Styela clava: one gene and its partner. The protein of the gene in region 1 purifies or fractionates together with the protein of each later gene. This does not show direct contact. Links are inferred from orthologs where the notes say so. Each region holds a gene or a part of one and is shown on either strand. Other genes may lie near its edges.

Region 1 (6,747 bases):
ATGATGTCCAGAAATTTTGCAGACGCCGCAAAGGTAGTTACTAGAGTGTTATCTATGAGGAACCCATAGAGCGCGCAAGTTGATGTGATGTTCAAAAAAGTTTGATTGGTGTATATACATCGCAATTCATTTTCCAATTTACCCACGTTTATCATGGGGTAAAATTTGGAGACAGTAGCCAACAAATGGATGGGAAATTGACGTGCAAATTTTGAAAAATTTTTGGGGTTCATCAAAGAGAACGCGGCAAGGTGTTCAGTGCGCAGACGATCGCCTATTTGATTCACCAGAATGTCACAGCATTCCTTTGCAGACAAAATCAAACGCTGCGTTGTTTGCCCGCGGCGTAAAGAAGCACTCCATGTGTCGTCGTATTTTATTGTTTCCCGGATACGAGATACAGCATCGCAGAAGTCTGAAATACACGACTGCACAGACGCGCCACCCATTAGCCTTGACTGCAATGCGCCGTATAATACATCCACGTGATAGAATATTGTGGAGAAAAAATGAAAACTCACCATCTTCTAGCAGACGCTTTAGACCTGCCGCCTCCCTCACAGAGCGTTCGTCCCAAACCGGAGAGCTCTGAATGCCATTGAAACACTCAATGAGCTCAGACTTAATTTTGGACACGCCCTGCACCACGCCTGATTGGAAGTTCCAACGTGTTGGTGCACAAGTTGGGAGACGGCGGCTACATATCTGGCGAAGGAAGTCAGAGCGCTTCGGCGAAACGGAAAAAAATGAAGAAAACCCCGAAACATTTGCAAAAAATATACGGATGAGAGGGGTATCAAGACACATATTTTTTAATAACGAGGTTAAATTGGTGTGCATAACAATGTAAAAAATGCGCATGAGGAAAATCTTCTTTTATATAAACTTGAACACCATGTTTCGACCCACTCATGACTGCCGCGCCGTCATAAGTTTGAGCTATCAATTTTGACTTCGCGTTGTAAGGCTGTAACACTTCTTTCAGTACAGCCGATATCCCGCAAGCCGTGCGATCAACGATTGGTACATAGCTGTGAAATCTCTCGGTAGGTTTACCATCTTTCACAAACCGAAAAATCACAGCCAGTTGGGAAACGCACGTGATGTCAGTTGTCTCGTCAGACTGAATCGAAAGGAACTGGCAATTCTCAATTTCCAGAGCCAAATGTTGTAAATAAATTTTATACATTGAGTCGAGCAAATCATTTTGGATATCCTTAGATGTCCCTTTCGAAACAGTTGCGGCATCAAGATGATCTCCCAATACTGTATCTAGGGATGCGGTGTATTCCACCATATCCAAAAATACCCCTCTATTAGAAGAGCCAGCCCGTTCATCGTGCCCACGGAGGGACAGCTCGTGACAACCAATGAACTTCAAAACATCTATCAATCGACCGAGAACATGGCGGTTTTTCTCGACGTTTTGGTTGTGCCGACGAATAGAAACCGCGCTGCAATATTAACATTTCCGAATGTTCGGTATTTTACTGCATTGTCCAGATGCTCCATAGAAGATTGATGATCCTTGGCACGCTCGGAAAGATGTTTAAGATCTCTAAAACCAAATTTACACCAACGTGAGTCACGGGCGGTAGCAAAAAGTAGGCAATAAAAACAAAAAAGTGCATTTTGTCCTCGCTGTAACACAACCATTCGTGTTTTTTATACCAAGTTTCTGCGCAGAATGTACGCCGACGCTTTTCTCCGTCATGGGATTGTTCCAGTGAACAATTTTTTGGTTGATAAGGCCCAAGACGTTGTACCTCTAATTTTTGTTCCAGCGGCAACTGCGAAAACGGAGTGCGAAGTAGTGCATCAACCTTATTCATTATGAGGTCTAAGGCTAAGAAATGCGAAGCCGGAAAGAAGTGAGGAGCTCAAAAGGAATGTGGAAAATCGAAAGCAAATGGACTAAAGGGGTCTAACTGATTCAAATAGTGAAACGAGCGACAAAAACGAAGGCGAGGAAACTATCAACTCTTCAAGCAACCAACGAACGAGAAGGAATGCGTGAATATGTCAACACGTTGTTGTAAGAAACGTCGGCATTGTGTCGTCATAATTTCGGGGCTAGCCCCGACAGCCCGATCGACCCGGATGATTTAGTAAAAGAAACAGAAAATAAACGAGATAAACGCGGCGAGTGGAAGATAAAAGAGAGAATACGATATACAATGAGCAACCGGGGCAAAATCGGCGTCGCCCCGTCGACGTTCGGCGAAGGCTTTGCGAGCGAAAAATGAACCATGTCGGGGGAATATGGCTAGTGTAGACAGTCTGTGCAACCGATATTGAGGTATTTTTCGAATATTTTTTATTATACCGAAAATAACCGGGGCATTGCCCCGGCCCCCGGTTGGCCCTATTGACGCGCTGCCACTGATAACCGTTAACCATCTGAAATCGGTAAACCATTCCCAGCCCTAGTCAGCCAAAAACACAACATAGCGCCGTTATGGATCATATTTTCATTGCAAAAATTTTAACGTTGCTTATGGGATAGTTTTGGAGAGTTGGCGCTTACAAATTGGCTCACATGTTTAAAACTCATTTTTATTCAAAACAATAAACCACGTGGCGCTGATAGCTAATATTAAGGTAGTCTATCGCAGGGCTACTCAACTATTTTTATCGAAGGTCCGCAAACAAAACTTCAAAATTATTTGGGTCCGGTCTTTCCAGAACTGATATTTCGGCATCCTTAAACGAGCACTTCCTCGACCGACTAATGATTAGTAGCAAATTAAAATTGTTTATTACGGTGTTATAGTTCTTTTCGTATATATTCAAAACTATGAAAGTCATTTTATAATAGAAAATTCAAAAAGTGGGGCTAATGATTCAAAATAAATAATTAGGTGCGGTCCAAATACAATACTCGAAAGGTCCGGATTCGGACCGCGGTCCGCCAGTTGAGTAGCCCTGGTCTATCGCATCGTTTGCGATATCAATTTTGGATTATTGTTGTAACTAAACTAAAGGTCCTCAGAATACATAATTGCAGTTAAGGTATTTGATTTAAAACTATGTTTTGGAAACACAACTAAAAACTGACGAATAAGACGCAAACCTACTAAAACGAGGCAATGTTTACAATCATGCTTGAATATCTGTCTGAGCGGAAAAGTGTCTCTGAGCGGCGGCTTATATTCCAATTACACGTCATTGTTAGCTTTTTGCTCATTTGTAATTGTAGGTAAATAAAAAGGACGTAAACAGGATCGGTCTCATCGGAAGAATTGACAAAAGGAATAGGTATAAAGGATGAAACATTGTCTATATGAAAGAAAATAGACATGGCGAGTTAGCCCTCTCTCGAACTCGCGATGTCGATCAACAAATATAAAAAAAATAGACATGGCAAGTTAGCCCTCTCGAACTCGTGATGTCGTTCAACAAATATAAACAAATAGTCATGGCGAGTTAGCCCTCTCTCTCTCTCTCGAACTCGCGATGTCGATCAACAAATAAAAAGAAAATAGACATGGCGAGCTAGCTCTCTCGGAAGAAAGCTCGCATCTAGGGTTAGTTCGGATACCACGATATGACAATGGCCCATGGCAGTAGGCTATATGGGGGTTCTTGGGGGGTGGAGGCTAACTCGCCATGGACCACTCGCCATGCGACGGCGGTTAACGGGTATGCCTGCAACTGCACGAAGGCTCTTCCTGTAATGGGAGATGGAAAGGTGGCTGTTTCCACTTACAACTTATAAACTAATCTATCACAAAAATTTGAGAAAGTGAGCATAAATCTGAAGCGTTAGAAGTCTTCAGTTTACTTTTTTCATGTGTCCTACAGAACATTCATATCATTCTTCTTGGTTTATTCTTTTTTTTTTCAGTACTTTTTTATCCCTATTATTCTCACAGTCATAACTGGATCATAAAATTGTTTAGTTTACAGCATTTGACTAATTACAGATTATAAATGTTAATAATGTATATATATTATAGAATTACCATGAAACAAAAATTCTGCTGACATTGACTGATTTAATAAATGTATCAAAATGTGGTCACATCATCAAATTGTGGCATTTGTTCTAACATATTGTGTGTATACAATATTTCATGCATCAAGAAAGGCTTACAGTGATTCTAAAGATTCATTTTCAAAAGAATGGACTCCACTATCATGTAATTTATCATGGCCTTGCCCAAGGCCTGAAGAAATATGGGAGGACAGACAATTGTTCTCAAGCTATGCATCAGCAGAACCCTTTCTTGGGCTCTTGGATTCTTTATTTTTAGTCTCCTATGCTATTGGAATGTATTTTACAAGCTTTCTTGCTGACAGAGTGGAACTGCGAAAAGCATTGGCCATAGCAATGTTTTTATCTGGCATACTTTTATTTTGTTTTGGAGTTTTAACTCAAATGTTACACTTTTACAATAAAGGATTTTACATATCCATGTGGATTTTACAGGGAATTATACAATCAGTTGGTTGGCCAACTTGTGTCGCAGTTGTTGGCAATTGGTTTGGTAAATCTGGGAGAGGCCTTGTGTTTGGAATTTGGGCATCATGTGCATCGGTTGGTAATGTTATTGGAAATGTCATCACATCTTCAGTTATTAATTATGGTTATGAATATGCATTTCTTACCATATCTGTTATGATGTTGGGTGGAGGACTGGTCGTGGTGTTCGGCCTTGTGAATACACCACTTGAAGTAGGTCTTCCTCCACCGGTTGAGACAGAATCTTTGGATAGAAGAACTCTAGATGATGAAGATTCCCAACCTCTTGAAGATGATTTCAATTCTGAAGACGACATGAATGTACCTACTAATGCAATTTTGGAGACTGTAGATAAAGACAATGCACTTACAAATACCACATTGGAAAATGAAAACACTGAAATTGCAATGTTGTCTAATAGTCATCAAAAGGAATCTCAACCATTGTCTTTTCTAAATGCTCTATTCTTACCTGGAGTTATACCTTATTCTCTCAGCTTCGCGTGCTTGAAATTAGTCAACTATGCATTTCTTTTCTGGCTACCGTATTATTTAACCAATCATTTCCAGTGGGATGATTCACTTGCATCTAGTGTCTCCACATGGTATGATGTTGGAGGAATAGCTGGTGGAATTATTGCAGGTGTACTGTCAGATGTTTTCAAAACTCGAAGCTTAGTTTTATTTTTCATGCTTCTTGGTTCGCCTTTTGCATTGTGGGGATATAAATCATCGCCAAACGATGTTGTCATTAACAGTATATTGATGTCCATCGTTGGATTCTTAATCAATGGTGTATCAAATATTTTATCTTCTGCAATTGCTGTAGATATCGCAAAACGGGAAGCTGTTGGTGAACACTCTCTAGCAACTGTAACAGGGATTATAGATGGAACTGGAAGCCTTGGTGCAGCAATTGGTCAATACCTTGTAGCAGTTATACAATCAAATTATGGTTGGAATTGGGTTTTCAATTTGTTTATTATTTCCAATGTAACAAGCTTGATATGCCTTTTTCCAATTTTTTATAATGATTTTGTGAAGCATTCTGCTTGTGCCAATCGTTTATTTGAAAGGTTACTCTCATTTCGTTCAAGCTATCGAAGAATTGATGAAAACTAGTGTAGCTTGTATTGCTTTTGTATGTTATGTATTAAAAAGATCTTGGTTTTGTGTATAATATATACTGTATGTTTATGTAGTGATATTTGTGACTTATAATACTAATAATGTGTCAATAAAAATGTGATTTGATAACCTATAGCCTCTGCGCTCTACCGCATGTATAAGGATCTTGCCATATTTTGGATGTTTTTTTTCTGTATTGTGTTGTTACTGTGTATAATGTATGCCTTTTCATGTTGGGGATTATGAGTTGAATATTATGGATTTAATTGCCAAATTAATAAATTGGTCATTTCTATATAGCAAGACTTTGTATCACGCTTTGATTAATGTTATGTATAAAATAGAGACTACTATATTTACTATTCACGGTATATAATAACCCTTTCCCAGAGTCGAATAATTTGTTTGTTTTCTTCATTCGTTCAACTCTATTGTGAAACTGATGTTATGATTCCTATTTTGACTGATAGTATTTTTATTTTTCCTCATATTATTAAAGTGCAATTTTTATTTCTTGAATTCATATTGGTACTCAACATTCATTTCAGTTCTTCAATATTTAAATATTGTATATATAATACTACGATTAATGATTTGTTATCATTGAACCGCTGTAATATGGCAACAGCAAAGTTGTCCTCTTTTCTAATATATAACCCTACTTATGGACCGAAAGAAGGCCAGGTTAGTATTACATGACATGTTTATTATGGTATTTACAGTAATTAATATTTTTAAATATTGTAGTCTAGATTGGGTGTGTGCAACCTGTGGCCCGCAGGTCAAATGCGGCCCGCAAAGAAAAATTGTGTGGCCTGTGAAACGAGTTTTTCATTTAGTTTAATCTGTTTTTTGTGCCTTCAACTATTAGATAGCCTATGTTAAATAAAGGTGCAGTGTGCGGTTTCACCCAGTCATTTGCATCTGGCCGGCCCTCCTGTATTAAAGGTCGCCCACCCCTGTTGTAGATGATTGCCACTCATGCACACCTTAATCCAAATCTGCTTTTCCGGGATTTGAAAGTTTAGGCATTTGATCATTCAGTAATAGTAAATCTCATCAGGCTATATGTGTATGTACAGGTTTAGTGAATAATTCTGTACCTGGCGGGAGATAGTAGCACTGTTGAATAAGACAAGCCTAGGCAATGAGCA
Region 2 (7,690 bases), on another chromosome or scaffold:
ATTTTGAGTCAGTATTTTGAAGAAGCACAAATGATTAATAGAAATATCAGCTGTAGCGAATTTTTCGAAGGAGGGGTGAAAATGATGAACATTAGGAATCAAATTAAAGCTTTACAGGTAAAATGGGTGTTAAAATTGCTTGAAGGTTGTAATAATCCATGGTCTCAGAGAGCAAAGTATTTTGTAAATAACTATTTTGATGTATTATCGAAAGGTAACTTAGAATGCTTGTATTTGAACTTTAAATTGGAAACCAATATACATATACCGAAATTTTATACTAGTATAATCAACTCATACAAACAAATTGGCTTAAAATGGAATCAACCACAAAATATAGCAGAAATATCACAGGAAATAATTTGGCACAATCCTCTAATATTAGATAGAAATAATATTGAAATAACTGCTAAATCAAATTGGGTTCAGGCAAAAATAATTACTGTTAGTGATATCTTTGGCAAAACAATATATGATATTTCCAAAAGAGTGTACCCCCAGCTAGAAAACTCTGCAATAAGTACTTTAAGAAAAAACTGCTTGATAAATAAGTGCAAAAATGAATTACGGCAAATATGGGAAGCACTTCCAATAGAATGGAGAGAGATTTTATCAAGGAATAGGGAATTTGGTCAAACAAGAATATTAATTGATAGGTACAATGGGTCGAAAGACTTGACCACTAATCAAATTTATAGGATTTTACAAAGTAAGAAAAATGATACATTTTTGAAAAACCATAAGGAATACATCTTTAATAAATTTCACCTAACTAAGGCAATTAATTGGAATAAAATATGGAAAATAAATATTGGAAACAAGTATAAAGAGTTATGTTGGAAGTTAATTCATAATGGGTTGCCCACTGGAGACAAAATAAAACACTGGTTCATTGATGAACCAGGAATGTGTGTCTTATGCGAAAATTATGTTGAAGAAACTGTGTGTCATTTATTTTTAGAATGTGACTGGTCTATTGATTTTTGGCAATGGTGTTGCATAGATATTAATCAAAATACTATTATAGCAAACGATTCGGAATGCAAATCAAAATTAATCGCAATATTATGCGGAAAATCAACAATTTGGGAATATCGAAATTCAGTAAAATATGATGAAATAGATAAAATGAAAAGTAGTATGCGTTCAATTTTCAAGTGTAAACTGGTAGGGATTTTAAATTTACTAAAAGAAAGCGAAAGAAATGAATTATTGTTATATGAGCACATGGATGATCTTTTACATAGGTCAATCATGATGTAAGTTTATATGCAACACCATACTCTGAAAATTATTGAAAGTATGTTATCTGTACATCATTTTCATAAGAGGAAGATGTATCGACTATGAAACATAGATGGCGAATGGGAAAAACCCAATATGAAAGCGTGGATTTTTCCATATTCTCTGTCTAATTTTTGTATTCTTGTATTTTTCATGCTAACTAAAAAATTAAAATAAAAACTGATTACCTGTAAATTAAAATTATATTCAACCAACTGATGAGTGGATTACATGTAGATTAACTCAACTTTTTTGGACATATATTGGATTATATTAAATTAATGACATCATGGTAATGGTATGAATTTTGTCTTTATTTTGATTTTTACTATTCATATGTATGGGGGAAATGGGATTAAATTAAAAAATGATAAACAAAAACATGGAAACAAAAAAATATCTATTTATATATTTATAATAAAATGATTTGATACCAAAATATTAATACGAAAATTCCGTTTGGCATTGGAATTTATTTGGCACGAAAAAAAAAAAAAAAAGTATTTTGAAGAGTTCGCGGAGCCCCTGGGTTTCTCTCGCGGAGCCCCGGGGCTCCGTACGGAGCACTTTGAGAACCTATGGACTACGGTACCGTACCTGTATTCTAGTTCTGTCTCAAGGCGGCAGGCATACCTACCGGTATTAGTAAATTTGGATAATTTATTCAGTTTGGTACCGTATTTGCTGGCAGTATAAAATTATAACGGCCCGCAGTGCAGTAGTAACATAAAAAGCTCAGTGAACTAGCGCTCAGCCAGCTGTTTGTTGCCATAGTACCGTACCGTACTAGATCAGTGCGGTACGGTACCTATACCGGTATTCTAGGATTATCTTCAGATAGAACATTTTCATTCCAGCATGTTCTTAGTACTGTAGACCAGGGTTTCCTAAATTTTTTGGGCCGCTGAGGCTGACCCCTGTTTTTGAATCCTATTTTTGACGGACCCCCATTTGCTCATATCACTGTATTACTGTATTAATCTCAGGGCCTAACCAACAAGGAGGGAAAACGTTTTATTCACTGATTTACATCATAAACCACATTACCGGTACTGCATTAATGTAAAGGATGAGGCTGCTTTTCGCACCACAATTTATCGATTCTCGGCGCAATTTGTGACAAGCAAACTGGTAGGTCCGACTCTACGGCAAGTGTTGACCTGTGTTTTGTCATCATATTGGTAAGAGCTGAAAATGCTGCCTCACACATGCACACATGTACAGATGTAAGTCGCTACAAAAGGCAATAAAATTTTAATTGCCTTTTCTGACAGCAATGGATATTCGTCTGCAATGCTCAATGGAAATTTGCAATGGACCTTAGTTTGGCTTGGGTAACCCTGCTGTAGACTAATGTTCTTATGAACTAGTATTTGCTGCTTATTTTTTCAAATTAGGATAGTAAGGAATTGTTCACTTTATTTCAAATTGATTTTAATATGTTTTTCACCGAAATGTTACATGTAAAGGTGAGAGGTCATATTTTCACTTCCTTGTTGATATAAAAGTGTCGAATTGTTTGTGTTTCACAATTGGGAATTGATTCAAGGTTGCCACTCCACAGTACGGCACACTATACAAATCGGGTGACATTGTCCCGATTCAGAGAAACCCATTTCACAGATGATCAGACACCCTCCCTTTGGGAGACGTCTGGACATTGTTGTCCCTCAATATCGGTAAAAATACAGTATAATGAAGTTGCGCAGAATACTACAAAAAAGCGCAATCTAGTAACGTCATCATTGAATTCCTTGGGAAAAAATAATCCGATTTACCGATGGAAAAATTTTTTTAACGTAGCATTCGAGAGTTTTTAGCAAAAAACGGCAATTTTGGTCATGTGACGGCCGCGATTAATTTGGATTATTTTTGAAACAAGCATGGCACGATATGAAGCATCTGTCATGGCCCCTGATGCCCCTCGTTTGTGAGACACATGGAGACGGAGTGTTTGTTTTATTGAGCCAAATGGAGGAAAATTCTTGGAATTTGGATAGTGTGCTGTAGTTCTCCACATGTTTCGAATTCTAATGGCACACCATTCCTTGTATTTGCCAAATTGGTGAATGTGGCACTTGGTTGTTTATATTCAGATATTACAATTGTGTATTTGATATTTCAAATTTAATATTTTCAGGGGCTAACCCTGGACAACTTGAGTTTTACCTTGATATGATCTTCAGATCTTGTTGTACATTTGAACCTGTCTCAAATGCAATTTTTTTATTCTGATTTAGTATTTATCAAGACAAATAAATAAACCTACATTCATATTTTACTGCTTCAGGCCTCATATTAATCCTAATATCATTGTTGACAAATTTTTATGGTGTGGTTGCAGAGTGAATATAATGGAAGACGCAGACTTGGCAGCAATTCGTAATAAGCGAATGCAGGAACTACAAATGAAGGCTGGTGATCCCAATCAAGCCAAACAGCAAGCAGAAGCAAAACAAAAGTATGATGAGCAACTTAACGGTATGCTTACACAAATTTTGACGCAAGATGCAAGAGCTCGTCTTAACAGTATTGCACTTGTAAAGCCTGAAAAAGCAAAGCAGTTGGAAGGAATGTTAATTAATATGGCCCGGTCTGGACAATTGGGTGAAAAAATGACGGAGCAGCAGTTAGTTAAAGTTCTTGAACAAATTAATGATAAAAAACAGCGAACAAAAGTTAAATTCGAAAGAAGAAGAGTAATGGATTCCGATGATTCAGACTGAATTTTTTTCATAAGCTTGGTCATGTATAAATAAATCTTCAGCCCCACTTAATATCACTATTTGTTGTGGAATTGCTTTAAGAGTTTGACATAAGTACAGAGTTTCTGGCATGACTATTCACTACATAGCACTACACAGGACGAAATTTTTTTTTAACTCATTAGAATAGTTGCCTTTAGAATATTTTGTATAAAAATTATGATTTTGTATTATTGTTGATTTGATTTATTGGTTCTGATGCCTTTTGTCACAGATAATGCTTTGAGAAATGTATGACCAGAATGATCTTATTCAAGTATATTGCAAAATCTGACAGTTCAATGTTTGGTTGAATTATAATCAAACCAAGGTATGCGAGATTCCAGTGATAGCTGTCATAGAAAATACACACCATTCTGTTTACAAATATGCTATAGTAACTCTTATTTTGTTTATTATTCCCTTTAAATTTTCCCGATAGAATGCAAAACTAGTTATTAATCTAGGGCTCTACTAAAATGGGAATTTATGAAACAATGTATATTTGAAACAAGAGGCATCAGAATGTTAATTTGTATTTACAATTATTATTTTGGAAAACATTCGAATAAGCTATTTATACAATAACAAGATGGAGACAATGCTTTTTGAGGAGATATTTTAGTGCTAAATAATATCAGCTGTGTGTTAATTTTTTCATCAAAACTTATTATCCATTTTTATTAGCCTTGATATATTTTTTCACTAAATTAATCTTATTAAGGTAATATCAATGAAAATCTTAGTATGGCTTGGAATTTGTATCAGCTTTGGAAAAGGAGTGGTAGATAATGAGGTTAGATGCTTATTATCGACTGTGCTAGTGATGACTTTTATTGAGCTGTAATCTTCAGCTATTAGTTTTCTTGTGTTCAAACATATTTATATTTGTATAGGCCCGGTTAAGCAAGTATGAAATTATTTATCAAATTCAAATCATCTTCGGTTATCTGATGAAATGCTTCTGTTTAGTTTTTTAAAACATTACAAATTGTGTTTACCAATTCCCATGAATATTTCTCTTTAGGATGTCTGTTCCCTGCAATCATGCTCAGATCCATACCCTCCTAATGGATCATTTGTTGACAATTGCAATTCACATCCTATGCTGAGACTTCAGGGACATTGCTGTGAGAACTTCTCATCTGGACATGTTGTCGGGTGAGCTGCCTTAACTTAATATTGAACATAGGTTTATGTAAACCTGTTTTGGTGATCTCATAATAATCAGCAAACTTGTTTTCCAGAGTTATAACTTCAGCATGGATTTCTGAAATGACCCGTTGTTAATAGGCTCGATACAGAAGAGAACGCCTGTTCTTAAAATTTTGAATTCCATCTCTGCTTATATTCAATTTGATATGTTGTATTCAATATGTGTATTTTGCTTCTTTGTTTTTGTCATCAGAAGATCGTCATTATCTGCAGTGCCGTATCAGTTTTATTTATATTAATCATTTTTGTTAGTAGACTGTATATTCAGCCAGTGTGCCACAACCTATGAAATAGATATTTTCATCCTTTAAATGTTCTTTATTTTAGTATTGATCTGTCTTTCTGCAAGCTTCGTAACATCAAAACATTGTTTCATCAATATACTGAAGTTACAAAAATGTGAGAGTCACTTTTGTTAATTTAATTCGGAATTTTAGATTGTCCACTTGTTTGAGATTTGGGTGGTATTTGACTAACTTTGATGTGAATATCAGGTAACTATGGGGTTCAAATATCTTGTATCAATCCAGCACTTTAACAATTTTTTTTTCATGTAATGTTGTGTTACTTCCTCAGACCAGCAGTTCACAACAATGATAGGAAAACTGTAAACTGCTTGTATTAGGATTGTTGCAAAATAATGTTTATGAAAGTGTGATGCAAGGTGTTTGACCCTCTCAATATTATAGTCATTGTGTTGTGATTAATTTTTGTGAACAATATGCATACATTATTTTATAGTAATCTTACAAACAACCCAGATTTGAAGTTTCAAAATACAAGTTTTCTCGGGCTGAAGAAACTTTGTCAAATGTGAGTAACAGTATGCTTTGCATTCGTGTCGCGACTATGGTGGACCAAAATGGCATAGTGCAGTGGTCCCAACGTTTTCAGTGCTCAGTCAATTAAAACAGTCAACATGGTATGGACAACAGTTTTCTCGATAGACTACAATGACATGCAGTTTCCTTGTGCTATTTTGTTATCGTATTATGCATGCAAGGCTCACAATTCAACTCTTTTCACCCAGGGTGCAATAAATTAGTTAATAACGAACTGGAAAGAGATTCTGTAGTAGTACCCTTTTGCCTAATAGTACCTGAGCCTTGTTTACAGTGAAAAATCAAGTGGTTTAGTCAAGTTTGTACAGTAGGAAGGTGCCGGTGGTAAGATACCATCTTTCTGTACTGTCACATACAATTGAAAGTGTTTTCTTATTTTAAACCAAATTTTTAACTTACCTGGAATAATTGCATTCAGTGGAGCAAATGAATATGCATTGTTTGGTAATTTCAGATCAGTAGATAAAAATGTTGAATGCAATAGTCAATGGAATTGGTTCAACAGTTCATGGCAAGCTTGGAACAATACTGAAGATGATAAGCATGACAGAAAATGCATCAATCAAACTAATACCTGCAACTTATTAAAGCAGTATCATAATTGTATGTTTTAATTCTTGTTATTAATATGTACTGAAGGAAAACTTATAAGCATTGGATTTTACAGTGATCACTGTGAAATCAAAATTACTCGAATTTGTGTGACCATAGCAAATGAAATTCAGTCACTTTAAAAAGGGGCCGATTCTTGAAATTGAAATGCAGTAGCCTTAACTTTAATCTTGAGCCTTAAGTAAACAAAACTCCCAAAAAGAACTTGTTTGGATCTTGACGTTGACAACATGATAACCTGAATTTGTATTCTTGAAAGCATTCGTTTAACGAAATCCACTGGCCTTTTGTTCGCTTATTTTCACTAATCTGCCACCTGGACTCACTGCTCTGGTCCGTTTAAGTTGATGGGACCTAATTGGCAATGGTGATATTGGTAACGTTGTCTTCATCTTGCTGCCTAAGTTAGTAAGTAAAATACTTTATTTTCAGATTTTTTTCATTCCAGATACATGTCCAGACAATTCAAATTGTATTAACAATGGACCAGGACAATTTTTATGTGATTGCAAGCATGGTTGGGGAGGTTACAAGTGTTTAAGAAAAACTGATTCAGACTTGAAGCTTCCTATTTTAGCTGGAACAGCTGCTGCAACTGTACTTTTATCCTCCATTTTGTGGTACACACAAAGAAGGCATGTGATATAGTCAACTTGAGACGGTCTGAATTTTTATCCCGCAAACAACTCAAGGCTGCAAAATGAGCAGAAATATGCTAACACCGTGTATCTCATGGGCAACAAGTTAATTCTGAACTGTATAATTTGTATGTCAACTTTATAGAGTGTCATACTCAAATTAATAACTGTGCAATATATTTATGGTTTGATTTTTATCATTATTGTGAGCTTCGATTTTTATCGTTATTGTGAGCTTTTTATAAAAATAAACAAATGTGGTTTTATTGTATCCCTCGAGTATTCCGAGAATCTAGAACAGGGTGGTGCAAGCCCAGGCCCGTGGGCCACATGTGGTCCTCCACTTTATTATCTG

What was found.
Region 2: the proteins of sugar phosphate exchanger 3-like (region 1) and all-trans retinoic acid-induced differentiation factor-like purify together in Homo sapiens (affinity purification with mass spectrometry; 3 studies listed by BioGRID and IntAct, counting the BioPlex papers as one, with this or other methods). This does not show direct contact. The link is inferred for Styela clava from reciprocal best matches to the Homo sapiens genes SLC37A3 and ATRAID.

What each region holds. Positions count from the first base shown.
Region 1 is NC_135260.1:15,858,767-15,865,513, forward strand, and holds sugar phosphate exchanger 3-like, read left to right. Parts: upstream 1-3,897; 5' UTR 3,898-4,015; coding exon 4,016-5,587; 3' UTR 5,588-6,040; downstream 6,041-6,747. Other genes in the region: vacuolar fusion protein CCZ1 homolog, read left to right, coding at 6,041-6,277. UniProt on the Homo sapiens protein: Unlike the other SLC37 members, lacks glucose-6-phosphate antiporter activity.
Region 2 is NC_135257.1:1,748,881-1,756,570, forward strand, and holds all-trans retinoic acid-induced differentiation factor-like, read left to right. Parts: upstream 1-4,680; 5' UTR 4,681-4,761; coding exon 4,762-4,824; intron 4,825-5,055; coding exon 5,056-5,189; intron 5,190-5,570; coding exon 5,571-5,642; intron 5,643-5,984; coding exon 5,985-6,056; intron 6,057-6,539; coding exon 6,540-6,688; intron 6,689-7,145; coding exon 7,146-7,345; 3' UTR 7,346-7,606; downstream 7,607-7,690. Other genes in the region: programmed cell death protein 5-like, read left to right, coding at 3,639-4,010. UniProt on the Homo sapiens protein: Promotes osteoblast cell differentiation and terminal mineralization. Plays a role in inducing the cell cycle arrest via inhibiting CCND1 expression in all-trans-retinoic acid (ATRA) signal pathway.